3 linked regions of the Elephas maximus indicus genome follow. The protein of the gene in region 1 binds, or shares a complex with, the protein of each later gene. Links are inferred from orthologs where the notes say so. Each region holds a gene or a part of one and is shown in the gene's direction. Other genes may lie near its edges.

The links.
Region 2: CC2D2A (region 1) and TMEM17 share a complex: the UniProt entries of both Homo sapiens proteins name them as parts of the tectonic-like complex. The link is inferred for Elephas maximus indicus from reciprocal best matches to the Homo sapiens genes CC2D2A and TMEM17.
Region 3: CC2D2A (region 1) and MKS1 share a complex: the UniProt entries of both Homo sapiens proteins name them as parts of the tectonic-like complex. The link is inferred for Elephas maximus indicus from reciprocal best matches to the Homo sapiens genes CC2D2A and MKS1.

Annotation. Positions count from the first base shown.
Region 1 is NC_064823.1:150,139,559-150,150,240, reverse strand, and holds the start of CC2D2A (coiled-coil and C2 domain-containing protein 2A), read left to right. Parts: upstream 1-6,449; 5' UTR 6,450-6,488; intron 6,489-6,581; 5' UTR 6,582-6,612; intron 6,613-10,682. UniProt on the Homo sapiens protein: Component of the tectonic-like complex, a complex localized at the transition zone of primary cilia and acting as a barrier that prevents diffusion of transmembrane proteins between the cilia and plasma membranes.
Region 2 is NC_064835.1:74,243,039-74,254,117, forward strand, and holds the start of TMEM17 (transmembrane protein 17), read left to right. Parts: upstream 1-6,354; 5' UTR 6,355-6,698; coding exon 6,699-6,798; intron 6,799-10,140; coding exon 10,141-10,244; intron 10,245-10,398; coding exon 10,399-10,512; intron 10,513-11,079. UniProt on the Homo sapiens protein: Transmembrane component of the tectonic-like complex, a complex localized at the transition zone of primary cilia and acting as a barrier that prevents diffusion of transmembrane proteins between the cilia and plasma membranes.
Region 3 is NC_064837.1:35,807,841-35,818,105, forward strand, and holds the start of MKS1 (tectonic-like complex member MKS1), read left to right. Parts: upstream 1-5,375; 5' UTR 5,376-5,704; coding exon 5,705-5,784; intron 5,785-6,215; coding exon 6,216-6,325; intron 6,326-7,426; coding exon 7,427-7,497; intron 7,498-8,100; coding exon 8,101-8,256; intron 8,257-9,355; coding exon 9,356-9,453; intron 9,454-9,624; coding exon 9,625-9,753; intron 9,754-10,004; coding exon 10,005-10,109; intron 10,110-10,265. UniProt on the Homo sapiens protein: Component of the tectonic-like complex, a complex localized at the transition zone of primary cilia and acting as a barrier that prevents diffusion of transmembrane proteins between the cilia and plasma membranes.

The DNA of each region.
Region 1 (10,682 bases):
CAACAAAAGAAAACCTCTGCTTCCAAACAGAATCACATCCATTGGTATAGAGGCCAGGACTTCCACACATACTTTGGTGGGGACACAATTCAATCCATAACACACTTGACAAGGATTTGTGGAAAGAGAGGGTTTCAAGTTGTGCTTAAAGGCCAGGAAAGATCCAACTTTACAAAAAGCTGGAGCTCTACAAAACGTGAGGTGAGGCTACTGGAAGCTGGGCTGAGTGGACAGAGGTTTGGCACGTCCACCAGCAATTGCGTGCAAAGGACGGAGAGAGCAGAGAATGGGGAGACGAGGAAGAGAAGCAGGAAGTTTATACAAGATGATTTTGTAGAAGATCAAACCTGACATATTTTTAGGACCTGTATAAAAAATGCAAAACAGCCATCCCTTTTAAGAACGATCTTGGAAATTGCAGTAAATTTTCCTTGACAGAAACTCACTCAAGTCCAGCATGTAATCTCCCGCTGTCAAGAAGAGTAATGGCAAGCGGTATATGTTCTTCTACTATAAAAAGGGATGCTGCTTGCCTGGGAAGATGGAAGTTAATTTGCCAAAGCCACTTTTCAAGGCTCAGCTTGCTCACCTGAGGGAATCTCTTTTTTATCAGTCTTGTGAAAAATGAGTATTTTTAGGAGCTGCATCAATATTTAGAAGCCTTTCTTGACCAATTCCTTCTAACCTCATCTTTCCCGTGAAGGAGGAATAAGAGCATATGAAATTGGATAAATTGGGGCTTGAATCCTAGCTGTGCTAGCTATTAGCTAAGTGGCCTTGAGCAAGTCGCTTCCCATATATAAACCTCAATAACCTCACCCGTAAAATAGGAGCAATAAAGGTGTCTGCCTCTTAAGCTTTTTTATGAGGATCAGATAAAATAGGCATTTTTGGGGAGGGGGTGGTGTTGTGGTTAAGAGCTACGGCTGCTAGCCAAAGCGTTGGCGGTTTGACTCTGCCGGGCACTCCTTGGAAACCATATGGGGCAGCTCTACTCTGTCTTATAGAGTCACCGTGAGTTGGAATCAACCTGACGGCAACGGGTTTGGTTTTGGTTTGTTATTGGTGTAGCACTCTCACCCTTTGTCCTCTTCCTTTGGGGTTATCAACTGACTCTCTGCTTGGAAAGTTTAGAATAAAAAAGGGAGGTCTTCTTCCCTTTCTCTGAGGAATAATTTTTCTTCAATGAGCACTTACTTCTCTGTGACAAAAATGAAGAATGCCACCTGTGGCTGGGAGGTTCAGCCTTTCTCATCCTGAAGTTTGTATTATGAATCCCACTTAACTGGTTTTCCAATATAAGCTTTATTCATTTTTTTAAAAAGTGATTTATTGGCCTCTCCCTACTGGTTTTAGTTTCCATTGAGTCGGCTCCTACTCATGGCAACCTTACGTATAACAGAACAAAGTGTTGTCCATCCTCATGATCACTGGTTTGTCTGAGTCCATTGTTCCTGCTATTGTGTCAGCCCATCTCACTGAGGGTTTCCCTCTTTTCCCTGAATCTCTACTTTACCAAACATGATGTCCTTTTCTAGCGACTGGTCTTTCCTGATGACATGTCTAAAGTAAGCTAATTGAAGTCTTGCTGTCCTTTCTTCTAAGGAACATTCTGGTTGTTTTCCACCACCCATCTGTCAGTTTGTCATACTATGGTGGCTTGCATGTTGCTATTGTGGTGGAAGCTGTGCCACAATTATTTCAAATACCAACAGGGCCACCTATGATGGACAGGTTTCAAGAGAGCTTCCAGATTAGGACAGACAAAGAAGAAAGTCCTGGTGATCTAATTCTGAAAAATTAGCCAGTGAAAACCCTAAGGCCCCTCCCTCAGAGATCCCAACACTTATCAAGTCCACATTTTTATTAGCCCACCTAGTAGTTTACCAGTAAAAGCTGGTTGAACTAAAGGAAATGAACTTTAATATATGTATGAGTCAAGGTAGGCTAGGTTATGTTATGGTAAAAAATTGACCCTAGAATGTCATGACTACACACACACACGCACACACAGTTATTTTATTATTTATGCCAAGTGTCCAGTGCAGGTTTGTGAGCAGGCTCTATTCCCCTGGATCCCTCGAGGAGCCGGTCTTATGAAAGCACCAATATTTTGTGATTATCTCAGCTCGTCACCTGATTTTAGGGTCCTTTCAGAGAAGGAGTGGGGTCTGAAAGCTTTCACCATCCATCACTACTTCCAACGCAATTCCACTTCTATTCACAGCCATTTGACAGCACAAGTAATATGGTTCTGTCCTAACTAGAAGGAAGGCTGGGGAGTGTATCAGAGCATGTCAACTATATGTCCCTGTCATGGGGCTTGTGAACTTACTATTGTCATATAGTACAAGGTTTGGAGCCATGGAACTCTTGACTGACCTTCATGATCAATGAAATGTATATTGTGTGAATTCAGACTGATAGAAAAGGGGAAATTGGAGACCATGTACAAGGAAAGTCTGAGCAAGTGGGACTACAGGCTCCCCTACCTGCTTTCTCACCAGAAATACTCAACTTCCTCATTCATAAAATGAAGATAGTATTTCCTGTCTCATAAGGTGCTGTGAAGATTAAATAAGATAATATATAGAGAGTGCCAAGTAAAGTGCCTGGTCTTTGATACATGTTTAAAAAAATACTATTTTCTCTTCTCTTGTTGAGGATAAGATAACACAACTCCTTTTATATCTACTATATACTATATATGCCTAAAGATACAGTAAATTTCCCCTAAATTATTACTCAGAACCAAGGGAGAGGCACTGTTATGGACTGAATTGTGTCCCCCCAAAATATGTGTATCAATTTTTCTAGGCCATGATTCTCAGTATTGTGTGATTGTCTACCATTTTGTCATCTGATGTGATTTTCCTATGTGTTGCAAATTCTACCTCTATGACGTTAATGAGGTGAGATAGGTGGCAGTTATGTTAATGAGGCAGGGTTCAATCTACAAGGTTGGTTTTTGTCTTGAGCCAATCTCTATTGAGATATAAAAGAGAGAAGTGAGCAGAGAGACCTCATACCACCAAAAAAGTAGCACCAGGAATTAAGTGCATCCTTTGGATCGGGGGTTCCTGCACAGAGAAGCTCCTAGTCCAGGGGAAGATTGATGAGAAGGATCTTCCTCCAGGGCCAACAGAGAGAAGGCCTTCCCCTGGAGCTGACGCCCTGAATTTGGACTTCTAGCCTGCTAGACTGGGAGAAAATAAATTTCTCTTTGTTAAAGCCATCCACTTGTGGTATTTCTGTTATGGTAGCACTAGGTAACTAAGACAGGCACTATTTTCAGGCGTTTATAAAGTCTTTCATATTACAGATGTCATTCTCATTACTTTATTTGGAACAAAACACATTACACTTGTCAAGATACTTTAGCTTGAAATGTATGCATTTAACACTGATTTTCATAGTCATGAAGGTCATCAGACAGAATTGAGTTTTTAAAAAGAGAAAAAGGAATTTAACACAGATTTAGTAATCATTTCTGGGTGGGCATGACCTTCCTGATGGAAGAAGTGAGTATCATTTTAGACAATCCTTTTAAAGATTACTTTAAAATCAAATTTAAACAAAGAGAAATGAAGCCCCAGTACATGCTACAACATGTGAACCTTGAAAACATTATGCTAAGTAAAAGAAGCCAGGCGTAAATAACCACATGTGTGATTCCATTCATACGTCCAAAATAGGCAAATCTACCGAGACAGAAATGGTTGCCTAGAGATAGGGGTTTAGGGGGATTGGGAAGTAACTGCTAGTGGTTATGGGGTTTCTTTGGAGGATGATTAAAATGTTCTAAAATTGATTGTGGTCACTGTTGCACAACTCCGTGAATATACTAAAAGCCATTGAATGGGTGAATTGTTTGATATGTGGTTTATAGCTCAACAAACCCACACAGAGGCTCCATGGGAGAAAGACCTGGAGATCTGCTTCTGTAAAAATTACAGTGAAAGAAAAAAAAAATCCTATGGGGCAGTTCTACTCTGTCACATGGGGTCACTATGAGTCAGAATCGACAGCACTCAACAACAAAAACAAGGTTGTTACAAAGAAACATAATTGCCATGTAAATATTACACATGAAGAAAGAAAGAAAAACTATGCAAATAGGTATTGATGGTTTGGATAAAATTTACAGCGACAGCATCATGTATCCAAAGAGTTTTGAATCTCAAACAAATTAGATAGGAACGGTGTCAATGTGCTTAGACGGGAATGAAGTATTTCTTAGGCAACTCAAAAGTTAATCTAGAGAGGGCCAAAAACTAACATCAAAGAGGCGCATGGTGAATTAAATAAAGTTGTTTCATGAAATGCAATAGTAGGAAAAAAATCAATAATCCTAAATCGATATATAATTTTATATAATATTGTTTCTAAAATATATATGTGTATAGCAATTAATAACATAAATGTTGTAAGTAGACATTGGACCATGTCATCAGCATCCCTAAAACTTTTTAAATCAGATTGACCACAAATTTTGAGGGAATCTTCACATTAGAAAAATGAAAATTCAATTGAGAGTGGTAGCAATTAAAATCCTAAAGTTACGTAGAATGAGGGGAAGCCCTAACTGTAGGGAAGAACCCTGGGAGTCTTATTGGCCACATGGTTTACCCCAGAACATGAGATTCAGGCCACACCCAGTTCAAGCCTGACCCGTAGGGAACATTTCTTGAAGGCAGATAGTGCTTTATTACAAAGTCTAGGAGAGGACACAACATAAATTGACATCTTTAAAGCCAGTTGTTCAAAAATTATCAGATGTATGAATACCATTCATAAGATATTAAACTGCTCAATGGTGAAATTGTTCAAATGAAGACTGGACGACCAAAAATCTGCCAGGAATTTGGCTGTTCCATGTTTTCAAACTGTGGGCTGCAACACGTTGCTGTTGTCGTTGTGTGCTGTAGAGCTGATTCCGACTCATAGCAACCCTATAGGACAGAGCAGAGCTGCCCATGGGGTTTCCAAGGCTATAATCTACAGGAGCAGATTACCAGGTCTTTTCTCCTGCAGAGTGGCTGGTGCGTTTGAACAGCCGACATTTTGGTTAGCAGCTGAGCACTTAAACGTTGCACCACTAGGGCTTCTTGCAACAGATTAGTAAGATATGAAATCAATTTAGAGGGTACACAACCGGCATCGGTCTATATCACATATTTTATATTATATGTTATATATTGTTGTTGTTATTGTTAGCTGCTGTAGACTTGGTGACCCTGGGCACAGATGGAATGAAATGCTGTCCAGTGCTGTCCCACCTCCATGATCGGTTGTGGATCGGACCATTGTGATCCATAGAATTTTCATTGGCTTATTTTCAGAGGTGAATTGCCAGATCTTTCTTCCTAGTCCATCTTAGTCTGGAAGCTCTCCTGAAATATGTTCAGCACCAGAGCAACATGCAAGCCTCCACTGACAGGGGGGTGATGGCTGCATATGAAGTGTGTTGGCCAGGAACAGAATCCAGGCCTTCCACATGGGTGGCAAGAATTCTACCACTTTACCACCAATGTCTTCATATGTTATATATTAGATTAGAACCCAATAGAACAGAAAAAAAAAAAAAAGAATAAAATTGAAACTATCAGTACATAGTATCTGTAGTAAGGGTAAGTAATGTTTCCTGAAAACTATGTTTTAAATGTATATGTATGTGTGTGCGCACACACTCGGTTGTGGTATAAAACTTACTTCTTAAAATGATTTGCAGTTTAAGAAAGCTTGAAACACAATGCTGCAGAAGGAGCCATGCAGTGGATGGTAGGCTGGGTGTGGCGTCCCCTAAGGTCCCATCCAATTCTTGGTTGATGATCCCAGAATTCTCAGCACTAAAGAAGAAAAAAACGTTAGACTCTTCCAAGACTGAGGAGGTGGTGTGCCAGTCAGTATTACTGAAACACACACACTTGAGAAACAAGTCCCCCACAATTCAGTAATTGTAAACATATTGCATGACAGTGTTCTCAGCTCCAGGGAGAAGTCACAGGAGAAGCAAAAGCCAGAAATTCCCCTGTTGTTGGAATGGAGAGAATTTCAGTGCTTTAATTCACAAATCCAATGAGTAAGTGGTCAGCCTATTTAAATTTCTGGGAGGAGCCTGGCAGCGCAGTGGTTAAGAGCTTGGCTGCTAACTGAAACCCACCAGTGTTCAGTGGTTTGAACCCACCAGCCGAAACACGTGGCATACGCGTCTGTAAAGATTGACAGCCTTGGAAACCCTATGGGGCAGTTCTACTCTGTCCTATGGGGTTACTATAAGTCAGAAACCAACTCAAAACAGCAACAAGTTTTTTTTTTTTTTTTTAATTTAAATTTTTAGACAGAAAAAGTTTATAATCAGTAAACTTCTTACAGGCCCTCTTTTGTGTTAATAAAATTCTCAGTAGTAGGTCTCTTACCACTGATAATATTTTCAACAAGTCGTTGGTGCCAACTCTGGGACTACAGAGCAGAATACAACTGGAGGCGTAAGTACGATCTAACCGCAGAACACTGGAACAGCTCTTCAAAATTCCAAAACAAGTTTTAAAATACAAGTTCGGCTTTTTTTCCTCTTAAAGGATGAAGTGACGCTCCTTGGCAAGAAGCACCGTAAGTAGTATGTGATTATAAACATATTTCGCTTCTTTGGAATAGAATGACTGAAACTAAAACAATCTGGTAAACTTGTTAAATCTGCAAGTGTTCAACTCACAGAGGCAAAGGTTTACCTTAGAAATAAATTAATATTTATTGAGCACGAACTGTATGCCAGGCATAGTGGTAAGTGCTGTGGTTTAGTTGAAAAATCTCTCTGATATATTCCCACTATGTAAGTCTCAAGGATGGACAATTTAATCATGGAAATGGGTTGTACCCAAATAACAAAAACAGAGGGCTGATCATGGTAAATGTTTCATCTTTCCTGGGTCAAAAACTTTTTCGGATGTGAAGAAAGCCAGATTCCCTAACCAGAAAAATGCACATATACCCACACATTGTTACATTTGCTTACAATTTAATTCTACGTGTGGCTTTCGGGTTCTGAACGTTGGCTTTAAGAGAAGTTCACTTAAAATCCTTTGGAAGAGGAAAGATTGAATTCGCAATTGCTGTTAACTGCCATCAGTCAGCTCAGACTCAGGGCGACCTTTTGTATAACAGAACAAAACGTTGCCTATTCTGGTGCCATCTTCCTGATTATTGGTATGTTTGGATCCATTGTTGTGGCTATTGGTGCCAATCCATGTCTTTGAGGATTTCCTTCATTTTCACTGGCCCTCTACTTTACCAAACATAATTCCTTGTCTAGTGACTGGTCTTTTCTGATGTGGCTAAAGTAAGAATTCACAGTAGAAGCCCTCTTATCCCACCTGTTCTTCATCAACTGGCTGGCTTATCCAGAATTCTCCATTCTCTTTTTAAAATATACCAAATGATGCCCAAGGCAGCTGTATACTTCCAGCTCATAGGCTGCTTTTCATATGAACTTCTACTCCTGACATCTGAGTGTTACACTGACCAGGGGTCAGTACTGTTTGCCCCCAACCCCAATTTACACTTGCAATTATGTAAACTGCTTAGTAGAATATAAACTAAGGTAAAACAAGTATGAGCTCTATGGTAGGCAGAATGATGGCCCCTAAAGGTGCCCCACATCCTAATCCCCAGAACTGGTGAATATGTTAGGTTACATGGCAAAGAGAAATTAAGGTTGCAGATGGCGTTAAGGTTCCTAATCAGGAGACGGAAGCCCTGGTGGCGCAGTGGTTAAGAGCTATATCTGCTAACCAAAAGGTCAACAGTTTGAATCCACCATGTGCTCCTTGGAAACCCTATGGGGCAATTCTACTCTGTCCTATAGGGTCACTATGAGTTGGAATCGACTTGACAGCAACAAGTTTGGTTTTAATCATGAGACATTAAAATAAAAAGATTGTCCTGGATTATCCAGGTGGGCCCAATATAATCACCAGAAAAAGAAAAACTAGTTCTGTAGAGTCAATTCTTACTAATAGCAACCCTACATGAGTCAGAGTAGAATGGTACTTCATAAGGCTTTCATGGCTGTGAGCTTTTGGGAGCAGATTGCCAGGACTTTCCTCTGAGATGCCCCTGGGTAGGTTCATATCTCCAATCTTTTGGTTAGTAGCCAAGGGCTTAGCTCTTTGCACCACCCAGAAACTCCATGTGTAAACACAAGGCTCCTTAAAAGTGGAAAAGGCTGGCAGAAGTTAGGAACCAGAAAGACAGCAGCATGAGAAGGACTCCACCTGACTTTGTGGGCTTTGAAGATGGGAAAATGGAGTCACATGCCAAGGAAAGCTGACAGCAAGGAAGTGGGTGCTCCCCTAGAGCCTCCAGAAAGGAACATGGCCCTGCTGACATCTTGATTTCAGCCATGGGACCTGTGCTGGATTTCTAACCTATGGAAGTGTAACATCATATATTTGAGTTCCTTTAAAATCACTAAATTTGTGGTGATTTGTCACAAGAGCGATAGAAAACTCATACAAGCCCCAAGATATTTTTTTTCTGTAAGAACTTTGCCAAGACTTGATAACAAATTGAGTCAATGAATTGTTATTGTTTACTGCCATGTTTGTCAAGTGAGCAAGACCCACTTTAAAATACGGGGGGTGGGGGAGTGGGTGTTCATAACCCTAAAACGGTGCCTTCACTAAAACTGCTTCACCAGCATCTAGAATCTGTCATCACCCGTCTGTCAGTTTTTCATACTGTGGTAGTTTGTACGTTGCTATGATGGTAAAAACCATACCAATAGTATTTCAAGTACCTATGGTGAATGGGTTTCCGTGAGCTTCCAGACTAAGACAGACTAGAAATAAAGGCCGGGAGATCTACTTTTGAAAATTAGCCAATGAACACATTTTGGATCACAGCAGAATATTGTCTGATATAGTGCTGGAAGATAAGCCCCTAGCTTGAAAGACATACAAAATACACAGTGGCCACAACAAGGGATTCACACATACCAGTGAAGATGGCACAGAATTGGACAGCATTTCATTCGGTTGAAGATGGGATCACCATGAGTCAGAGCTGACCTGAAGGCAGCTAAAAACAACCACATGTCAAGTGGTCAAGAACCACTTTAAAATACTGGGGATAAGGAGGGTGGAGGGATCTTATAAAATTTAAGAAGATGCCCTTACTAAATTTTTTTTACTAGCATCTAGAGACTAAAGGAACAAGACTGGAAATCAACCACGGTGCATAACAGGTGCAATTTATCCAAGAAGCCAAAGTCTGCTGTATTTAGAGGACCAAAAAAGGTCTTAGCCCTACGCAACAAGACTGATGAATAAATGCATATATTTACATGTTTTAGATAAATAATAAGTAATTAGGGGACAGATAGATTTCTTGTGTGATTTCTTATACTAGCAGACTTTATTTGCTTAAACAACCACCTATCCATCTTGATCACATTGGCTAACAGGACTTTCTTCTACCATGTTTTCTCATCTGGACAACTCAAACGTGAGGAAACCATGGTATCTTCATAGGATCATACAATCCAAACTATCAATGGGCTGAGCTGAATTGGCGTGTGTCTCTTTGGGGACACTTTATGATTCTATCGATTTAACAGTTACTTCTGTGTTTTCTGTGTTACCTGCACTGTGCCTGGGAATTTGCTAAGCACCAAGAGGTCCAACAAAAAATATGTGTATGTATATATATAATATATATATAGTTGTTGTTGTTGTTGTTATGCGCCATCAAGTTGGCTCCAACTCTGTGTTACCTGCACTGTGCCTGGGAATTTGCTAAGCACCAAGAGGTCCAACAAAAAATATGTGTATGTATATATATAATATATATATAGTTGTTGTTGTTGTTGTTATGCGCCATCAAGTTGGCTCCAACTCTAGCAACCCTGTAGGACAGAGTAGAACTGCCCCATAGGGTATCTAAGGAGCAGCTGGTGAATATGAACTGCCGACTTTTTTGTTACAGCCAAGCTCTTAACCAATACACCACTAGGGCTACATATATAGAGAGAGAGAAAGACAGAGACAGAGAGAGGCAGAGAAGTACAAAATAGTAATATGCCTTCTTAAATTATACACACCTGTGGTTTTGATAAAAATTAAAATTAGATAACTTTGAAAAGAGAACACAATTTTGGAATAGAACAGCTCTAAGTTTGAAACCCTGGTGGCATAGTGGTTAAGTGCTACAGCTACTACTCAAAAGGTTGGCAGTTTGAATCCACCAGGCGCTCCTTGGAAACTCTACGGGGGCAGTTCTACTCTGTCCTATAGGGTCGCTATGAGTTGGAATCGACTCAACAGCAATGGGTTTTAAGTTTGAAATTTGGTTATCCCCTTTACTAGCTGTGTGAGCATGAGTAAGTCACATAATGTTCCCGAGCCTTTGATTATTTTCATCTGTAAACTAGAGAATAATAGTATCTACTTCACAGGCATTTGACTGTGTGGATCATAACAAATTTTGGAGGACATTGCGAAGAATGGGAATTCTAGAATACTTAATTGTGCTCATGAGCAACCTGTACACGGATCAAGAGGCAGTCCTTCCAACAGAACAAGGAGATGCTGAGTGGTTTAAATTCAGGAAAGGTGTGCAACAGGGTTGTATCCCTTCACCATACCTATTCAATCTATATGCTGAGCAAATAATTTGAGAAATTA
Region 2 (11,079 bases), on another chromosome or scaffold:
CTATATCATTATATAACTGCCAGATTACATCATTACGTAACTGCCAACCCACTGAAAATCCTGGCCCAGCAAAATCTTGACACAACCTTAACCATCACAATGATCTATCACTATTTACTGTGGGTAAGTAATGTTTTATTATAGTCAATAAAAGATAATAAATTAATTTTCTTCCAGAAAGGGGAACATAACTTATACTTTACACAGTATAATATAAAAAATATTATTAGTAGAGCAATACTATCACTACTAAAAATAGAACTTATTACATATTCAATAAAATGCTTCTAATCAGTATCACAATTCACTTCGCAGATCTGAGGTTTCCTTAAGCGGGTTTTCGCTTTCCTGATCTTTTTCCCTCGGCTTGACATTCCCAACTCCTATACAGTTGGACACACAGAGAGGCTGCTTGATATAGCAGATGAACGGTGTCATAGGCAGACACAAAGAAATGCCCAAGAACCAAATTCATGTGTATAATAAACAGCATTTTAAAAGGCAAATAATTTTCTAATAAAAATTCTCAATGGGTATGTCTTCGAGGACAAAATATCAAAGTCGTCCTTGAAATGTCACCAAACACAGTATGAAAAATTCTCTTCATAAGGTATTTTCTACATAATTCATAGCCTGACTCTTTCTTATAAACTTTTGTGAAGTGCTGTGAATGGAATATATTCTACCAGGAATTCAAAAAGCTTTTGATTATCTGTTAACAATTTGAGGACGATAAGATTATGTTTCAGGTAATTTCGAATAAGATTTTTTTATTGTGGATGCTGACGTAGAATTATATTTGAAGATATTCTACCCAAATATATAATTTATCTTTTAAAATTATCTAAATTCTGAGAAATATCTCATAGTTCATTTTAAGGCAATAAATTGAATAACACAGTCATTAAGTAATATTATATCTAAACTTCTTATTAGCATCAAGTGAAAGAATTTGTATCTTTATTATGCCAAAGAATAATTTAAATAACTCCCCAAGTTAATTTCTTGTCCTATAAGATAATAATATATCATTACAAGATAACTTCGCCTCTTGTCAAAGAAAAACAAACCATTGTGGCACCCGCACCATTTTTGTGAAAATAGATATATAAGAAAGTAAACCATAAATGTAGTTAAACCACAATGAAATACATTAAAAAATTATTGAAGAAGTTATTACTGTGAACCTCAACATTGGTCTAGAAAGTAAACAGTTTAACTTTATAGGGTTATATATTAATCTTATATTAATCTTGCTGGGAATGATTCCTATGATTCTAAGAATGGCAACTCCATACTTCTGTCTTTAGAGCCTGAGGTAGTAATGGATGCAAAAATGGGAGACCCAAATTGTATTAGCCTCTTAATTTTGCGAAAATGAATTCTCTCTCTGTTCTTCAATATTTCCCTAATGTGATTACCTATGCATACTGTGAGAATCAACTATCAAAATAATATTTGGAAAGCTTTTTGAGCCCTTTGGACCATTTGCCACAGCAGTAATGGCAGAATTCTTTCCACACTTTTTTCCTCTCAAAACTCTCTTCTCTAATGTGTTTCTGCACCATTACTGCCTCTTCCTCTCAATCTATCTTCTAAATAAGGCCTTTCTCTAAATATGAAAAGCATGCTCATTATAGGAAATTTGGATAATAAAAGTAGAAGGAAAATATCCATAATTCCATCAATTTCTTCCTCTAGGATTTTGATGAACTAATTACAGTCTGAACAATATGTTTCGTTTCTTCTTTCAATGCTAGGAAAAATCTTTAACGGAATTCACTGAAGCTTTTGATAAATTTGGTTATCATGCACGGACTATTTTAAGGATAATTTCATCCACTGCCTTTGCTAGGAAAGCAATACAGGTATTGCCTAGCAGGTAATACAGGTGAATTCAGAAAATTAAATGCTGGTATGATTTAACTCCACCATAGGTGTTTCTCCTTCATAAACATCATTTTAGTAGAGGTGTAATGATAGTTCTGGAGCTCTGGTGGGCAGTGGCTTAAGAGCTTGACTGTTAATCAAAGGTTGGTAGTTTGAATCCACAAGCCACTCCTTGGAAACCCTTTGGGCAGCTGTACTCTGCCCTATAGGGTCGCAAAGAGTCGGAATCAACTCAAAGGCAACTTTTTTTTTTTTAATGTGGTTTTCATTTATACAGAGCCTTATTTAATATTATAATCTATACATCAACTATTTCAGTAAAATTATCATTATTCCTACCTATGCTCATCCAAAAACTTCACCAAAAGAGTAAAAATACTACCTACAGACTAGAAAAAGTTTTTAGCTATGACATTTCCGATCGGCGTCTAATCTCTAAAATCTACATGATACTGCAAAAACTCAACTACAAAAAGACAAATAACCCAATTAAAAACGGGCAAAGGATATGAACAGGCACTTCACTAAAGAAGACATTCAGGTAGCTAACAGATACTTGAGGAAATGCTCATGATCATTAGCCATTAAAAAAAATTAGCCATTAGAGAAATTCAAATCAAAACTACAATGAGATCCCATCTCACTCCAACAAGGCTGGCATTAATCCAAAAAACACAAAATAATAAATGTTGGAGAGGTTGTGGAGAGACTGGAACACTTATACACTGCTGGTGGGAATGTAAAATGGTACAACCACTATGGAAACCGATTTGGCACTTCCTTAAAAAACTAGAAATGGAACTACCATATGATCCAGCAATCCCAGTCCTTGGAATAGATCCTAGAGAATTAAGAGCCTTTACACGGGCAGATATATGCACACCCATGTTCATTGCAGCACTGTATACAATAGCAAAAAGATGGAAGCAACCAAGGTGCCCATCAATGGACGAATGGACAAATAAACTATGGTATATTCACAGAATGGAAAACAAGGCATCAATAAAGAACAGTGATGAGTCTGTGAAACATTTCATAACGTGGAAGAATCTGAAAGGCATTATGCTGAGTGAAATTAGTTGCAAAAGGACAAATAATGTATGAAACCACTATTATAAGAACTCAAGAAATAGTTTAAACACAGAAGAAAATATTATTTGATTGTTACAAGAGTGGGGAAGGAGGGAGGGAGACGGGTATTCACTAATCAGATAGTAGACAAGAACTATTTTAGGTGAAGGAAAAGACAACACACAATACAGGAGAGGTCAGTACAACTGGACTAAACCAAAAGTTTCCTGAATGAACTGAATGCTTCGAAGGCCAGAGTGGCAGGGGCGGGGGTTTGGGGGCCATGGTTTCAGGGGATATCTAGGTCAATTGGCATAGTAAAATCTATTAAGAAAATATTCTGCATCCCACCTTGGGGAGTGGCCTCCGAGGTCTTAAACTCTAGCAAGCAGCCATCTAAGATGCATCAGTTGGTCTCAACTCACCTGGAGCTAAGGAAAATGAAGAACACCAAAGACACAAGGTAATTATGAGCCCAAGAGACAGAAAGGACCACATAAATCAGAGACTACATCAGACTGAGACCAGAAGAACTAGCTGGTGCCCAGCTACCATCGATGACTGCCCTGACAGGAACACAACAGAGAACTCCTGAGGGAGCAGGAGAGCAGTGGGATGCAGACCCCAAATTCTCATCAAAAGACCAGAATTAATGGTCTGACTGAGACTAGAAGGACCCGGAGGTAATGGTCCCCAGACCTTCTGTTAGCCCAAGACTGGAACCATTCCCAAAGCCAACTCTTCAAACAGGGATTGGACTGGACTATAAGACAGAAAACGATACTGGTGAGGAATGAGATTCTACACATAAGGCTATGTGGCCAGCTCCTGTCTGGAGGGGAGATGAGAAGGCAGAGGGTGACAGAAGCTGGCTGAATGGACACGGAAATAGAGGGTGGAGAGAAGGAGTGTGCTGTCTCTTTAGGGAGAGAGCAGCTAGGAGCATATACAAGGTGTATATAACTTTTTATACGAGAGGCTGAATTGATTTGTAAACTTTCACTTAAAGCACAATAAAGAAAAAAAAAAGATTATCATTATTCCTATTTTACAAAATAAGAACCTGAAATCAATCGCACAACTATTAGGTGATAGAGTGAGAATTTTAGGAGACTTGAACCCTGCTCTCTGCTTTCAAGGGCATTCTTTCCACCACAGCCCAACAGCTCGCTTTACTGCACCCTTTTTGAAAGTTTTGGCTCATGTATTAGCTAAAAAGTGATTCTTTGTTGCTAAATTTTTTTTAATTTCTGGTTGCTTTAATTCACTGTGTTTTAATATACCAATTCTCCACCGTATAGAGTAGGCTTTACAAAGGCTGGTTAACTGCAGAGGTTGCTCTAACTAGAACCGGGAAGATATAGGAGTGGTCATTAGGCCTTTTATTTCTATTTATCACTCAACAGGCATCTAGCCCCCACTCTAGGCCAGGCATTGTGCTAGTGTTGGGAGATACACAGATGAAAGCCCATTCCTGACCTCAAAGAGCTTGTGGACTCGCAAGAGAAGCAGGCACATGAACAGACAATGAACAGCGTGACCAGCACCTTGACTAAAGTAAGTAAAGAATGCTTTGGGAAACAGAGGAGGGCACCTAGGCCAGCTTCAGGGAGATCCTGGGAGTATCTTTGGAGGTGGTGAGGCCTCAGCTACATCTTAAAGAGAAACAGATTAGTGAGTTTTTCCCTGACAGCTGAGACCTCTGGCAGAATTAATCACTTCCTCATCAGCATTCCTTTATTAAAGCACTTACAGCAGTGTACGGTATTTATTTGTTTCCATCTCTCCCTCTCACTGGGTTGAGCTTCCTGAGAGGAGGAATTATATTCCTAATTAGTCTAGTACAATGCCTTGTAGGAAAGCAATACTAGTAGGAATGCAATAAACATCTGTTGAATTAAAATGAAATTCTAGCCACAAAGTTAGCATTTCCTCCCATACCTTCCTCTTGACATTTAAATAAACATATGTGGTTTTCCTTTTGTTTGTAAAAAATAATAATAATACCGTTCGCCACACAACCATTAGAAGAGCTAAAAGGAAATGGGTGGAAAATAACAAGTGTTGGTGAAGGATATGCAGCAACAGGAATGCTCATACATTGCTGGAGGCAGCAGAAATTGGTACAACCACTTTAGAAAACCGCTTGGGAGTGTTTACTAAAGCTGGGTCATATCCTATGACCCAGCAATTCCACTCCAACACAAATCCAAACATAACAGTCCCAAACTAGAAAAACATACGCAGATGTTCGTCAACAGTAAAATGTATAAACACATTGTGGTACGGCCACACACCACAAAGAGAACGAAACTACACATACTCAACCATGTAAATGAATTTTACAAAAAACAACGAACGTAGAAGGCCACGAGCCAGATCCGGAAAAAAAAAAAAAAGTAAAGCACCTAAAACCCACTGCAGTGGAGTCGATTCTCATAGTGACCCTAAAAGACAGTATAACTGCCCCACAGGGTTTCCAAATTTTTTTTTAATCTTTATGGAAGCGGACTGTCACATTTATCTCCAGGGGAGCAGAGGGCGGTTAGAACCGCCCACCTTTCAGTTAACAGCTGAGTGCTTTAACCTGCACCACCAGGGCTCCTCAAAAAAGTGCTTACTATAGGGTTCCTTTTATATAAACTATAAAAACAGGAAATTATTCTATGCTATTACAGATCGGGAAAGGTTAGTGGGGAGCTTAGTGACTGAAAAGGACAGCGCCGGTAAGGTTCTATTTGCTCCGGTTACTAAACACACGTGTAAATTCAGTTTGTGTCCTTTTCTGTATGTATAAAAAAAAAAATTATTTTTATTTTTTTATATACGTACATATTATATTTTAATTAAAAAACAAAAACTTAAAGTAATACATCTTATTTGAGAGAAAGCTGGAAAATACAGAAATATTTAAAGAAACTTTCTTGTTGAAATCACCCAGAATCCCCCATCCAGAAATAACATTGTTAACATTCTGTAATTTTTTCCAGTCTTTTTTTTTAACCAGTGTGCAAGCCCTCTCTCCTTCCCCCGCTCCCCATTTACACACAAATTTTGCTAAATTACATTCTTTCCTATTTCACTGTACTTTTTTTTTTCAAGTCAATCCATATCATCAAATATTCTTCGCAGCAATGTTATTTATAAGCTGCTGCAATGCGCTTCATCGAATGTATGTGCTCTAATACATTTAATCAGTTCCCCATTGTTGCATATTTTCGTAATTTATAATTTTTATTAAACAAATTATTTTTTTTAATCAGTGCACATTATTACATATATGTATACACATATGTATATACATATAAAATTCCTAGAAGAGGAGCTACTGGGTCACGAACATTCTCTAAGCTCTGCATCCGGTCTGTATTTCCCTTCAGGAAAATTGCACCGATTTACAGACGCTGGCAAGGTGTGAGGAATCCTTGCATCACAATTCAACCCCAGATCATTTATTCTTATTAGGCTGTTGTTTTTGAAGATGGTGGAGCTTAAACGGGACTAAAGAATCTGCCGTTCGGAACACCACCGCGGCGCTCTCCACACACCTCCTCCACCACGCGCAGGCTGCGACCCGCACACTCGGCTCGGCAGACTCGGCCCCTGCAGTGCCGCCCTGAGCGCGTGTCCAGGCCCCGCCACGTCTCGCGCCGCCCGGTTGCCATGGGGACCGCAGAGCGCCACGGCGCCCGCAGACTCGACTGTATCTGAGGGGCGAGGGGTACTGAGGCCCAAGCATGGAGCTGCCGGATCCGGTCCGCCAGCGGCTGGGAAACTTCAGCCGGACCGTGTTCAGCGACTCCAACCGGACCGGGCCGGAGTACACCGAGGGTCCGGGTGAGTGGCCGAAGCCCAGCGCAGAGGGTGTGGCCCGCCTAGGGCCTGACGCGGGTTTTTTGAGCAGCCAGATTTTGCCCGCACCTAAGATGGCGATTCCGCCTTCAGCTAGGTCACCGTGGTGCGCGGAGCGCTTTGGCTTCTTGGCTGGGCCGGGCCCCGACCGCGGTCCAGTCCAGGTCGGCTCACGCTGTGGCCCGGGAGGCGCGTCGCAAGCGCCGCAGCAGATTTGGCGCGGGCCTTTGTGTCGTATGAGGCGCAGCACTGCCTGCGAGGAGACTTAAAAAAAAAAAAATTAAAAAGCTGCCTTCCCCGTGTGCTGGGTCCCGCGCCTTTGCGAAGGCCGACGTTGATTTTCCTCTGCGCCTGCCCAGGTTTTCTGGGTAGGATCGGGGGAAACAACCCAAGTGGCGTTATCATTACCCCCGCCCTCCTGGGAAATACCTTTGCCTTTTCTCTCTTCCCCGCAGGACAAGCATCTTCCTCCACAAGTACGTTTTCCAGCAGAAGAGATGAAAGAAACATTTTTTAATGAGTCATTTTAAACCTTTGTTCACTTCAGAGTGGCAGCTGCCACAGTAGACGGCCTTCGACTTGTCCCCTTCCCTGCCTTCTCCTCCTCCACTATATATAGCTCTTTTCCTAAATCTGGTAACAAAGTCACGGTGCTGCATTCAACAGGATGACAAGTGATAACGCAGTTTCCTCCAAAACAGTTTCCTCCTAATCTTGATGACAGATACCATCCTGTCTGACCAAACCCATTCGGTTTTCATCACTGAACTCTGTTCAGAAATAGAAACTTTTTCTTCTGACTGGTTTTAAGGATTTTTTTTTTTTAAGGTGGCAAAGAAAAGCAGTTTCCATAGTTGCAGTTTGTCACATTGATCACTTGCCTGTTCCCCCAAATTTTAGGCCTCTTTATGATTTGGGAGGTACAGAGAAAGACATAATATGAAAAATTAGGTTTTCTCGTTTCTGATACTAAAGCTGAGGCTTAACAGACACTAAAACCTGACTATGCAAGGTAGTGATTTAAATCAGGGGTCAGCCAAGTTTTTCTGTGAAAGGCCGGGTAGTAAGTTTTAGGCTTTGCGGGCCATGTGGTTTCTGTGGCAACAACAGACAAGAAGTGAATGGGCATATATAAAACTTTATTTGTAGACACTGTGATTTGAATTTCTTATGGGTTTCATGCATCACAAAACATTATTCTTCAATTTTAAAAAAAAATACCACAATAAAAATTCTATTAAAAAGTTCATAATCATCAGACATATTCTAGCTCAGTGAACCCTTCTTGCTATGAGAGACCATGACTATTTCTTAAAATTTGTTAAATGACAGATTAAAAAATACTCAGTTGTAGAGAAAAAGGAAAAAAAACCCACCTTTTTAAAAGAATTATTTTACAACCTTTGTAAATTCCTGCATTTAGAGCAATTGATTTGAAAATATGTGTCCGCTCTTAGATTGTTAGAATTTAGTCAATTTTAGGATGCGTTTTGTAGGGTTCAATTTTTTCAATCAAATTCTTAATTTAGGACCTTTCTCCTTTACATAAAAGCAAAAGGTATTATGTAATCAGGCTTAGATAAATGGAACTCATTTTTCACTAATGGCTACACTGGTAATGTCCTTATGACAGCTTGTTTCCGTTAATTCGTTAATTCGTTCTTTCAGGTTAGGTGTGCTTGGTATTTACTGTTGTAAAGCAAGACAGTGGTTCTGTGAGGGCTTCAGTTTGGAGTAGGATATGATCTGTGCTCACGATGAGCCTGTGTATAGGTAGAAGAGGAGAAGGAAAGGGTACTACTTTTTATTGAGTGCCTACTAAGTGCCAGGCACAGGGCTAGGGTGAAATAATTTTTATTCTTTCTAATCCTCACAAGCACCCTGTAAGGTCATTTTACTGTACACCTGTTGCCGCTGAGTCAATTCTGACTCATAGCAACCCTATAGGACCTATGTCCCATACGGTTTCGAAGGAGCGCGTGGTGGATTCAAACTGCCAACCTTTTGGTTAGCAGCCAGGGTTTCCAAGCTCAGTTTAATGTTAACATTTTACAGATGAAGAAATTGAGGCTCAAAGAGGTTAAATAACATATCCCAGGTCTGGCATCCAAAGTCAGGGAATGGAGGTCCAGCTGAGTTGGACTCTGTCTTAGTCATCTAGTGCTGCTGTAACAGAAATACCACAAGTGGCAGGCTTTAACAAAGAGAAATTTATTTCCTCACAGTAGGCTAAAAGTCCAAATTTAAGGCGTCAGCTCCAGAGGAAGGCTTTCTGTCTCTATTGGCTCTGGAGGAAAGTCCTTGTCCTCAGTCTTCTCATGGTTGGTCGAGGAGCTTATCAGGCACAGGGACCCTGGGTCCAAAGGACGCATTGTGCTCCTGGTGCCGCTTTCTTGGTGGTAGGAGGTCCCCCACTCTCTGCTTGCTTCCCTGTTCTTTTATTTCTTGAGAGATAAAAGGTGGTATAGGCCACACCCCAGGGAAAATCCCTTTACCTTGGATCAGGGAGGTGACCTGAGTAAGGGTGGTGTTACAATCCCACCCTAATCCTCTGAACATAAAATCACAAAATGGAGGACAACTACACAGGGCTTAACCAAGTTCATACACACATTTTGTAGGGGACATAATTCAATCCATGACATACTCTCACACCGATGTTCTCTTCAGTGCACCGGGCTGTGCCTGGAACTGGGAGAGTGTGGTTCTTTGCTAACTCATCTCATACACAGGTTAGAGTGCTAAGTACCCAGAGGGGAAGGAGATTTCCGCTAGGGCAGAGGAACAGGATCAAGGAGGATTTATGGGAAGTGACATTGAATTGGCCATTAAAGGATGGGTGGGGTTAGAATATGATGGAAAGGGTAGTGAATCTGATTATAATTTGGGGAGAGTAGTTTTTGGAAGAGATTAGTTTATATGTGAGAGACTAGTTTTTATGTATTTTATGTCTTTATTTTATGGGCTGTTAACATAGAACTCTACAAAGGAGATAATGACAATTATTGGTATCTGTTCAAGAAGTCTCATATTGCTATTCCACATTTAATCTATACTAGCAGTGTGCAGAAGAGTCCACAGACTCTCATGGCAAAATTGTAAAGTAATTGAGAAATATGAAGCATACCCCCAATCGGCAATATTTGAACACCAGCTAAATGGTATTATGATGAATATTCCTTTCACTGCCAATGATTTATCAATAGGCTTAAAATACAGAGTTCCGTTGAGCCAATACTATAGTTGTTAATTCTAAGGAATGAAAGGATTTGCCGGGCATAGACCAGCATTTAGAGTTGGTTCCTTTTCTCTCTCTTTCTTCCGTAGATGATGAAATGGTCTCCAGTTTGGCACTGCAGATGTCGCTTTATTTTAACACTTACTTTTTCCCGCTTTGGTGGGTGAGCAGCGTTATGATGCTTCACATAAAGGTAAGTCTCCGCTTCAACACCGACGCTGAGGTCTCTTCCCATCCCTGGCATTGTTACACTGTCAATAAAATTAAAGTTCTAATTATTCTACTCTATCCTCGGTGAGTTTTACCATATGAAATTTTATAAATGTGTTTCTTTCTTTTTTTTTTAGTATCCAATCTTGCCTGATTACTACAAATTTATTGTGGTCACTATTATCATCCTAGTAACCTTAATTGAGGTCATCCGGTTGTATCTGGGCTACATGGGTAACCTACAGGAGAAGGTAGGGTCTTTTCTTTTCGTTCAGTGCTGCACATAATGCAATGGGGTTTTCATAGCCATGAAAAGTGATACAAGGTACATAGGCCTGAATTTAAGGCCAGCCTCCAACGTTTCTACTTTTGTCATTGTGATCAGCTTGCTTAATCTCTCAAGCCATGGTTTCCTCATATATAAAATGGGAAAAATAATATTTACCTCACAGGTGTGTTGGGATTAAATGAAATGATTTATATCAAGTACCTGAACATAGTAAGTGCTTAAGAACTGATAGTCTTTTCCCCTCCTCCTCCTTGTTTGTGAAAATACTTGGTCAATTAAACATGTTTGTTTTCTGAATAAGAAAATTATAAACCAATTTCCTATGCCAGTAAATGCTGCCTAAGCATTTACTGTTATCAGAGCTTCGGGATAATGGCTAAAGAGGTCTGTGGTTTTTCGAGGCCCTTCATAATTAGGCCCCACCCAGCCTGTCTTACTGTATTTCTGGCTATTTCCCAACCTAACCATCTATTCCAGGCTCATGTGTTGATTCCTTCTCATGCACATTCCACATCTTTGCTTGCTACCT
Region 3 (10,265 bases), on another chromosome or scaffold:
CCTTCTCCATGTCTCCTCTTATAACTTCATGTTCTTCTTTCCTCCTTCTCCTTGAAGTCCAATGAATCTTTGCATACTGTGTGCGCTGCTATTGCTGTTGTATGATGTCAAGTTGATTCTCACTCATAGTGACCCTACAGGGCAGAGTAGAACTGCCCCATAGCATTTCCTAGGCTGTAAATCTTACAGGAGCAGATCACCAGGTCTTTTCTCCCGTGGAGCCACTGGTGCATTCCAACTGCCAACCTTTTGGTTAGCATCTGAGCACTTAACCACTGCATCTCTATTTTCTGTTGGGTAGAGGCTCAGTTTTGTGGAGGCAGGTTGTTTTTTAAAAATTTTAAGTATACAATTTGGTGGGTTTTAATATAGTCACAAAATTGTGCAAATATTAAACCAAAAAAAAAAAAAAGGAAACCCATTGCCGTTGAGTCAATTCCAACTTATTGCTTACAAGATAGAGTAGAACTGCTCCATAGGGTTTCCAAGGCTGTAATCTTTAAAGAAGCAGACTGCTACATCTTTCTCCTATAGAGCAGCTGATGGGTTTGAACTGCCGACCTTTCAGTTAACAGCTAGACTGCTTAACCACTGCACCACCAGGGCTCCATGTACAACAATTATCATGATCTAATTCCAAAACATTTTTCTCACCTCAAAAAGAAACCTTGCCAAAAAAAAAAAAAAAAAGAAACTTTGTACCTATTAGCCGTCGCTCTTCATTTCCTCTCCCTCTCACTCCCTGGCAAGCACTTATCTATTTTCCGTCTCTGTGGATTTTACTAGTGTGAAATTTCATGTAAACGGAATCATACAATATGTGGCCTTTCACATCTGGCTTCTTTCACTTAGCATGTTTTCAAGGTTCTACCATGTTACATCATATATTAGTACTTTATTCTTTTCATGATGGAATAATATTCCATTGTATGGATATACCACATTTTGCTTAACCTTTCATCAGTTGATAGACAGTTGGGTTGTTTCTACTTTTTGGCTATTATGAATAATACTGCTATAAACTTTTGCATACGAGTTTTGTTTGGATTCATTAATCCATCACAGACCCAGGTTATGGGACTCTCCAGCAGGGACCTCCAGAATGTTTTTCAATTCTCTTAGGTAAATACCTGAAAGTGGAATTGCTGGGTAACTCTTTTTAACCTTTTGAGGAACTGCCAGACTGTTCTCCAAAGTGGCTTCACCATTTTACGTTCCCATCAGCAAAGCTCGAGGGTTCCAATTTCTCCACATTTTCACGAATATAGTTACTATCTGTCTTTTGATTATAACCATTCTAATGGATGCAAAATGGTATCTCATTGTGGTTTTGATTTGTATTTCTATGATGACTAATGATATTGAGCATATTTCTGTGTGCTTATGGGCCACTTGTATATCTTCTTTGGAGGAATGTCTATTCAAATCCTTTGCCATTATTTTTTTACTTTTACGATTATTGATATTTTTATTTGCCCTTTTATTGTTGATTTGTAAGAGCTCTTTATATATTCTAGATGTTACTGATGTTAGTTACTGTTGAGCTGATTCTGACTCATGGTGATCCTATGAGAGTAAAACTGCTCCATAGAGTTTTCAAGACTGCTATCCCGAAAGCAGATTGCCAGCCCTGTCTGGGTGGATTCAAACCGCCAACTTTTCAGCTAGTAATTAAGTACTTAACTGTTTGTGCCACCCAGGGACTCATAAGCTTGATTGTTGTTGTTGTTAGGTGCTATTGAGTCAATTTCAACTCATAGCGACCTCGTGTGACACAGTAGAACTGTCCCATAGGGTTTTCTAGGCTGTAATCTTTACGGGAGCAGATTGTCAGGTCTTTCTCCCACGGAAGAGCTGGATGGGTTCCAACCACCAACCACCATCTCTTTGTGGTTTTAATTTGCATTTCCTGATGATTAATTATGCTGAGTATCTTTTCATGTACTTATTTGACATTCATATGTCTTTGCAAAGTCTCTGTTCAGGTCTTTTGCCCATTTTCTAATTGGGTTGTTTGTTTTCTTACTGTTGAGTTTTCAGACTTCTTTTTATATTCTGGATACAAGTCTTGGACAGATATGTGATAAGGCAAGTATTTTCTTCCAGTGCAAATATTTTCTCCCACTGTGTGGCTTGTCTTTTCATTGTCTTAACAATGTCTTTTGCAGAGCAACTTTTTCAATTTTGATGAATTCCAATTTTTCTTGTTTTTCTTTTATGGATCCCGCTTTTGTTGTCATATCTAAAAATTCTTTGTCTGATCTAATTGCACAAAGATTTTCTCCTATGTTTTCCTCTAGATGTTTTATGCTTTACATTCAGGTACATTTCAAGTTATCTTTTGTATAAGGTGTGAAGTATGAGTTGAGTTTCATTTTTTTGCCTATGGACATTTAAGTCCATCATCCAGCATCATTTGTTGAAAAGGCTATACTTTATGCATTGAATTTCCCTTGCACCTTTGTCAAAACTTATTGACTCTATTTGTGTGGGTCTATTTCTTGACTCTCCAGTCTGTTTCATTGATTTATGTTTCTGTCTTTTCACCAATGCCATACTGTGTTCATTACTATAGCTTGATAGTAAGTTTCAGTTCAGGTTGTGTGAGCTCTCCAACTTCATTTTTCTTTTCAAAATTGTTTTGGCTATTCCAGCCCTTTTTCTTTCACTATATTCCCTAAACAATTTCTTTGAATTTCTCCTATTCAGGATTCATTGACATTCTTGAATCTGTAAATTTACGTCTTTTATCAAATTTGGTAGAATTTCAGCTATTATTTCCTCAAATATTTTTTCTGCCACACTCTTTCTCCTGTCCTTCTAGGAGTCCAATGTCACGAATGTTAAGACTTTTGATATTTTCTCACAGGTTTCTGAAACTCTTAATTTTTTTCAATCTTTTTTCTCTCTCTGCTCCTTAGATTGTATATTTTCTATTTACCTATCTTTGTGTTTACTGACTTTCCTGTGCCACCTCCACTGTGCTATTGAGCCCATCCAGTGAATTTTTATTTCAGTTATAAAATTCCATTTGTTTCTTTTCTTATAGTTTCTATTTCTCTGCTGAGAATTTCTTTCTATTTTTTTTCAAGAGTGTTTGTCCTTAGTGCCCACAGTAGAGCATGGCTATGATAGTTAAAACCCTTGTCTGATTAGTCTGATATCTGGGTCCTCTTGAAGCTGGCATATGCTGATTGCCTTTTCTCTTGAAAATTATTGAGATTTTACTTTTAGTAAATTTTGTATAATTATAGTGGTAGTCGGAAACCCTGGTGGCATAGCGGTTAAGTGCTATGGCTGCTAACCAAAAGGTTGGCAGTTTGAATCTACCAGGCACTCCTTGGAAACTCTATGGGGCAGTTCTACTCTGTCCTACAGGGTCGCTACGAGCCAGAATTGACTTGACGGCAATGGGTTTGGATAGTGGTAATCAGGCCATTCTTCACATCAGGGTAAAAACTCCTTCCAGCGATCTGATAAAAGTCATGAACTCTTTCCAAATAATGCCAGTAAACAAAGCCCCTGGTGGCACAGTGGTTAAGTGTTTGGCTGCTAACCAAAAGGTTGGCAGTTCAAATCCACCAGCAGCTCCTTGGAAACCCTAACAGGCAGTACTACTCTGTCCTATAAGGTCGCTATGAGTTGGAATCAACTCAACTGCAATGGATTTAGTAAACAAGGAGAAAACGTAAAAACTAAGTTTACCTGTATAAAAATAATACTAGTTATGATCACTCATACAAATAGCGTATATTTCCATACCCTGTGGTATAGTAGGAAACCCTGGTGGCATAGTGGTTAAGTGTTACGGCTGCTAACCAAAGGGTCAGCAGTTCAAATCCGCCAGGCGCTCCTTGGAAACTCTATGGGGTAGTTCTACTCTGTCCTATAGCATCGCTATGAGTTGGAATCAACTCGATGGCACTGGGTTTGGTTTTTGGTTTGGTGGTATAGTAAGGAGCCCTGGTGGTGAAGTGGTTAAGCACTTGGCTGCTAAATGAAAGGTTGGCAGTTTGAACTTACCAGCTGCTCTGCAGGGGAAAGATGTGGTAGTCTGCTTCTGTAAAGATTACAGCCTTAGAAACCCTACGGGACAGTTCTACTCTGCTCTACAGGGTGGCTGTGAATAGGAATTTACTTGATGGCAATGGGTTTTTTTGGCTTCGGTGGTACGGTAACTATTTTGCATATAATTGTGTCAGATTGACTTTGCTGTAAGTTTGTTTATAACACTAAACTGTTGATGCAGTTCTACCTTATCGTTTGTTATTGGGGTGATAAGTGTTATCCATTCACAACTTTAAAAGGAAAAATCAAAGTGACCTTTTTTTTTAGGAGCTAGTATTCTGTCTCCATGGTTTCATCTGTTGAAATAATTATTCCCAGGTTGGAAACCGTGTGCTCTTATGGAATGAACCAGTAGGTGAAAGGCTGTGAGGCACATGGATGGCGTTCAGGCCTCAGAATCCGGACAAACCTGAGCTAGAATCTCAGCTCCTTCACCATTCACTAGTAGTTCAATCTTAGCAAGCCTTCACGAACTTCACCTGTTAAGTGGGAATAACAATACCTACTTGAGGGGTTTCTAGGACACCTTGCATAGGAACAATGCAAACCAAGTGCCCAAGCTATATTAGACCCTCACCCCCTGCTGAGTTCATTCCACTCATGGCAATTGCATGTGTTTCAGAGTAGAACTTCACTCCATAGGGTTTTCAATGACTGTAATTTTAAGGAGCCCTGGTGGTGCAGTGGTTAGGCTGTTAACTAAAAGGTTTGAAGCCATCAGCCGCACCATCAGAGAAAGATGTGGCAATCTGCTTCCTTAAAGATTACAGCCTTGGAAACCCTATGGGCATTTCTAACTCTGTTCTATAGGGTTGCTATGAGTCGGAATCAAGTCGATGGCAATGAGTTTGGTTTGGCCGGTTTATTATTATGGTGAGTCCTTGATGTTACACAAGAGCAGAAATGCCACCCAGAGTTCCCAGTGGCATGAGGTTTCTGAGTTCTGGGGACAATTACTTATTCTGTTGGTGGAGTGGCAGATGTCAAACAGTGATAAATATTGACATCCCCAAGGTGCCAGGGAGCCAGACTTGAGGCCATGGTGTGCCCTGCCTCCTTTGCTAGGCCAATGAAGCATGACTCCTGAAGGACATTTTGTTGGCCTTTCAGGAGGCCAGTGCAGTTTCTAAAGTGACTTAACATTCACAGGGACAAACCAATTCAATAACATCTTTTCTTTCCTGACTATTAACTTCCTTGTTTTCTCTTTCTCTATCTCAGTGAATACTAACACAGCGACTAATAAGTCTCTTGGCACTTGTTTTTTCTTCCAAGAATATCTTTTCGTGTCTAAGTAAATGCCACCACCTGCCCTAGCTCTTTTGGGAAGAGGGGGTGCACTCTTTGAGTCACAGTAACCGATTTTCAGGTCACAGCTTTCGTGTGCTCCGTGGAAGGCAGTGCGGTACAGGGGAAAGAGTAGTGGCTGAGATCACCCGAGCCTCGTCTCCATGACCATTCTTCATCTATACGAAACGGGCATGCTGACCACAGGCGTTGCGTTGCTGCAGGCCGCGGCGGGAACAGTGAGTTGCGCACGCAGCGGCTCGGCGACCTTCGGGACTCAGCGTCTCGGTTGCCAGGGGAACTAGGGGCGGCGCGCTTTCCGGCGCAGTCGCGGCGCAGCACAGCCGTCATGGCGGAGGCCGTCTGGAGCTCTGACACCGGCGAGGCCGTGTACCGCTCCCGGGACCCCGTGCGCAACTTGCGCCTCCGGTAGTAGCACTGCCCCGGCACCTGGGCTCCGTGCTTTTATCCCCTCAGATAATTCGAGCCTGAACTCAATGTTCTGAGGCCCCCACTTCCGCTTACAATCCTCGCCACATCTTCATCTTCCCACATCTCATCGCACTACCTCAACCCTTCTCCACCCCGAGCCTTCCAGCACAGTTTCCAGACTCACGCAGTCCTCTTCAGTCTCTGTACTACCCAAATTCCTCGGAGCCCTGAGTCCTCAATACGCCCTCTTGTTTTCACCTTTCCCCTGAGAGCCTCGTGTCTCACTCACCTCCCTTCAGTCTTCTGCACCTAACACACCTTGGCAGCCCCACCCTGCTCAGTGTTTTGCTTTTTCCATACTTGCTCTGTGTTTATCTTCTAGTTGTGTGCCTTGTAACGCGTATTTTGGACGTCTCTTTTCCTGACAGAGTCCACCTGCAAAGAATTACATCAGGCAACTTTCTCCATTACCAGCCTGCCACCCAGCCCGGGAAGGACCTCATAGACTTGGCCACTTTTAGGCCCCAACCAACCGCCAGTGGGTGTTATGTGGTGATGCAGGCCCTCCTGGGGACCTGAGGGAAGGGCCTGGGGTGGTAGACTTACCTCTTACGACAGAGTAGACCCAGGTCTACTTTTTGACAGCAGCCTTTTTACAGATGAGGAAGCTAAGGCACAGAGAGGTTGGGTTTCTTGTGAAGGTCCTGCAGCTGGTTAATGTCAGAGCCAGTGTTTGAAGCCTGGCAATTTTAGGCACTACACTGTGATTCCTGCCATCAAGTTACTGATGTGAATTGTGGTCATCTGTAGTGAAATAACAAATAACCTTATTTTTGATATGTTATAGATTTGCCTGGCAGCCTAAATACCATTTGAAACAATTTTTTTTTCTAAAAGAAAATATGTCCTAACTCTAAACACATGCATAAACTATTTTAAAGTTGAGGACTTTAAAATAGTCCTCAACTTTACTGCTAGACAAATGTACATATTAACATCAACTGTGCTCTTGCGGTTTTTCTTGTCTGGGAAGCCAGAAGAGTGAGGACAGAGGAGAGTGCTTGTGTTAAGTCACTAGTCGCTGTGCTTTTGTTGTGCTTCTGTTGAGAAATATTCCTGAGCAAGAGCATGGGCTGGTGGGTTGTGAACTGTGTCTCTGAAAAAGACATACTCAGCCAGGAGTGGATTAGGTTTTGCTCTTTAAAAAAAAAATCATTTATTTGACTTTCTTCTTCCCGCCTCAGCCTCTTAAGGTTACAGAGTTTGTGTTTCTAAATACATCGCTTCAGGATTCTTTTCTAGCAAATGCAGGCTGTTGAGATTGAGGAAGGGCTGTTCAGCTTATATTTAAATTTCAGTCCCTGACACTGACTTAGATTTAATAATACTTGGAAGGCAGGACCACCTTTTATTCAAATTAGAGTAGTGGTTAAGATTTCTTGGGTTCTAATCCTGGTTTCTGCACATACTAACCAGAGCACATATTCAGCCTCACTAGTTTCTGTCAGAGTGAGTACTTAATAAATCACTGAACTCCAGCTGGATTTGTCGTAAATATAAGAGCAGAGGCTTTGGTTATAACCAACCACAGTGGCCTTGGTTTGGCTCAAGCAGTTGACTCACTCTGTTGTGTTTGAAGGTGGTCATCGCCCAGATGAAGATGAAGAGGAGGAGGTTGTGATCGGGTGGCAGGAGAAGCTCTTTAGCCAGGTGAGCCAGTGTCACGTGTCAGCTCAGTGTACTTCCATCTGGCCCATCTCCACCTGGCTGGCAACAGGGAAAGAGATCCCCATCTTTGAAAGAGAGGCTGCTGCCAACACGGCTCCCCAGGTCAGGGCTTTGCTGATAGACCCACATCACTAATTTTAAACAGTGTTTCAGTGAGATCTTTGTATTAAGCCTCATCTGATTCTCTGATTATTTTCTCAGATAAGATTCTTGGAAGTGGAATAACTGGATTAAAATATTACTTTGAAGATTATTGATACATACTGCCAAACTGATTTTGGGAAAGGTTGTAACAGTGTATACTGTCCCTTGTTGTGTTTATTGGGTCAAATTCTGACTGCCACTAAGTTTTATGATCTTGGGTACAGCACGTATCATCTCTGGGCCACATGCCATCTGTAGCAGAAGAGTTGCATTAGAATGTCACCCTGGTTCCTTTTTTTGAATCCCCTGCCGACCATTAGCTTAGGTTCTGAAAACATGTCAAATAGCATCAGTTCTATAGAAATAATTTGATTAAAAAGTTACAGGAACAAAAGTTTCAAGTATCCTCAGTAGATTTTTGTTTCCTTGTGGTGACCTCAGTTTGAGGTAGATCTGTACCAAAATGAAGCAGCCTGTCAGAGCCCTTTGGATCACCAGTACCGTCAAGAGATCCTGAAGCTGGAGGATTCAGGTGGCAGGAAGAACCGGCGAATCTTTACCTATACCGACTCCGATAGATACACCAACTTGGAGGAGGTATCGTTCATTCCGAGGTCCCATAGCTCCCTTCTTCCACTTTGCGTCCCCCAGCTTTCTGGCCTCAGTGGGTTCTGTGTGCTAAATCAGAAGCCTGTTAAGGGGAGACAGGTAGCCATCCTAGAGCTCCTGCATGCTGCTGGCAGCCACACTGGAGTAGAGAGGGCACAGTCTGCAGGTGGTGTGGCTGCTGCTGCCTTGTTTGCCTTCTGGAGGGCCAGGGAGCTAGCAGGGACCAGTGTCTTTAGTGATAGCCTTGTAGACTGCCAACTGAAGAAGCAGCCACTGGGCTTGAATTCCTGCTTGAATCATGAAATGAGCCAGGTGAGTGGAGTCTGGAACAACCTAGATAAAATGCATCAGGGTATTCAGCCAAATCTCTGACCATATGGGTTTGGAGAGGAATTCAGTACAGCCATGGGAGGGGCCTTAGGTCTCCAATGCACCTATGTTAACATACCCTTGTGGGTTTTTTTATATTTTCTCCAGTCACTGCATGATGTGTTCTGTCTTCTTAGGGAAAGTTTAAGCTGGTGGAGGGTAGAGCCTGCATTTTTTATTTTTCTCTATGACCTTGTAGATCTCTGCAAAGAGCAGGTGTTAAATGATTGCTTTTGAAAGATGGGCATGCTTTCATGTGTTGGTAGCATGTAGAATTTGAGTTGTTTGTGCTGGAAAAGCAGGTGAAAATGCAGTTAGTGCTCTATTAACCGTATGAGGATTTTCCACAAAATGCTTTTATCCCATCTGGCATCTTTAAACCACCTAGTTAAACTTTAACTAGGCAAACTCACCCAACTTTTTATTGGTATGTTCTCAGGGAATGTTAGGCTGATTTTAATATTAGCCTGTATAGACTCATTTCTGCAGGATAATATGCTACCAAAATCATAGGCCTAGGGGAATTTTCTTTGGGTTGTTTGGGCTACTGCTTCCCTCCGTTAGCATATATAATTTTGAGGTGGCTATACCTGTTTTTTGGTTTTTTTTTAGTTCAGTCACAGATGGGGCTTCAGAAGGAAGACTTCCCCTCTGGAAGTCTCTTGGTTCCATGTGGCCCTGATCAGATGGGTCACACAGGGCTGCTCTCTTTCCTTAGCACTGTCAGAAAATGACCACCGCAACCAACGAGGTACCATCTTTCTTGGTCGAGCGAATGGCAAATGTCAGGCGGCGGCGGCAGGACAGGCGAGGGATGTGAGTGCAAGTGTGTATGGGCGCTGGGGGATGGGGGTCTTTGTGGTCCTGCCATGCCAACATTCTCAGTACGTCCACTGTCTCGAGTCTCCCATTCTGGAACGGGCCTCCACCTGGAGTGTGATCTTCAGGGGCTGCTGGGCAAGTGACCCTTCGTGTGGTGTCTCCCAGGGAGGGCGGCATCCTCAAGTCACGCATCGTCACCTGGGAACCCTCAGAAGAGTTCGTCAGGAACAACCACGTTATTAACACCCCTCTTCAGACAATGTACATCATGGCAGACCTGGGGCCCTATGGAAAGTGAGTAAAGCTTCATACCACCTACTCAGGCCCTCATCCTCTTCTGCTCACACTGACCATCACCTTCCTGTTAGAGTCATCGCTGGGCACATGAGAGAGAAGGACTTTTTCTTCTTAGTTGTACTTGGCAGAAAGTTTTCTTACCACAGATCTCTGTCCTCCCCTGCTGATGGGAGCTGACTCCTTCTTGTTCTTTCCCTGGAACTGGGACTGGGGATCCTGAACTTTGATGTTGATTTCCTGGTTTCTAGGCTTGGCTATAAGAAGTATGAACAGGTCCTCTGTACTCTGAAGGTAGACAGCAATGGTGTGATCACAGTAAAACCTGACTTCACTGGCCTCAAAGGACCCTACAGGTGAGGAGAGGAAGAGTGGCCACTAGGAAAGGGTTAGTGGACACTGACATTCCTTCTCTTGGCTTCACTTCATGCTCCTAGTTGATAAGATCCTTCAAAAGCCCTTAATCTGTCCTAACTTTTAAATTCCCAGGCAGTGGTTCATATTCTGTTCTG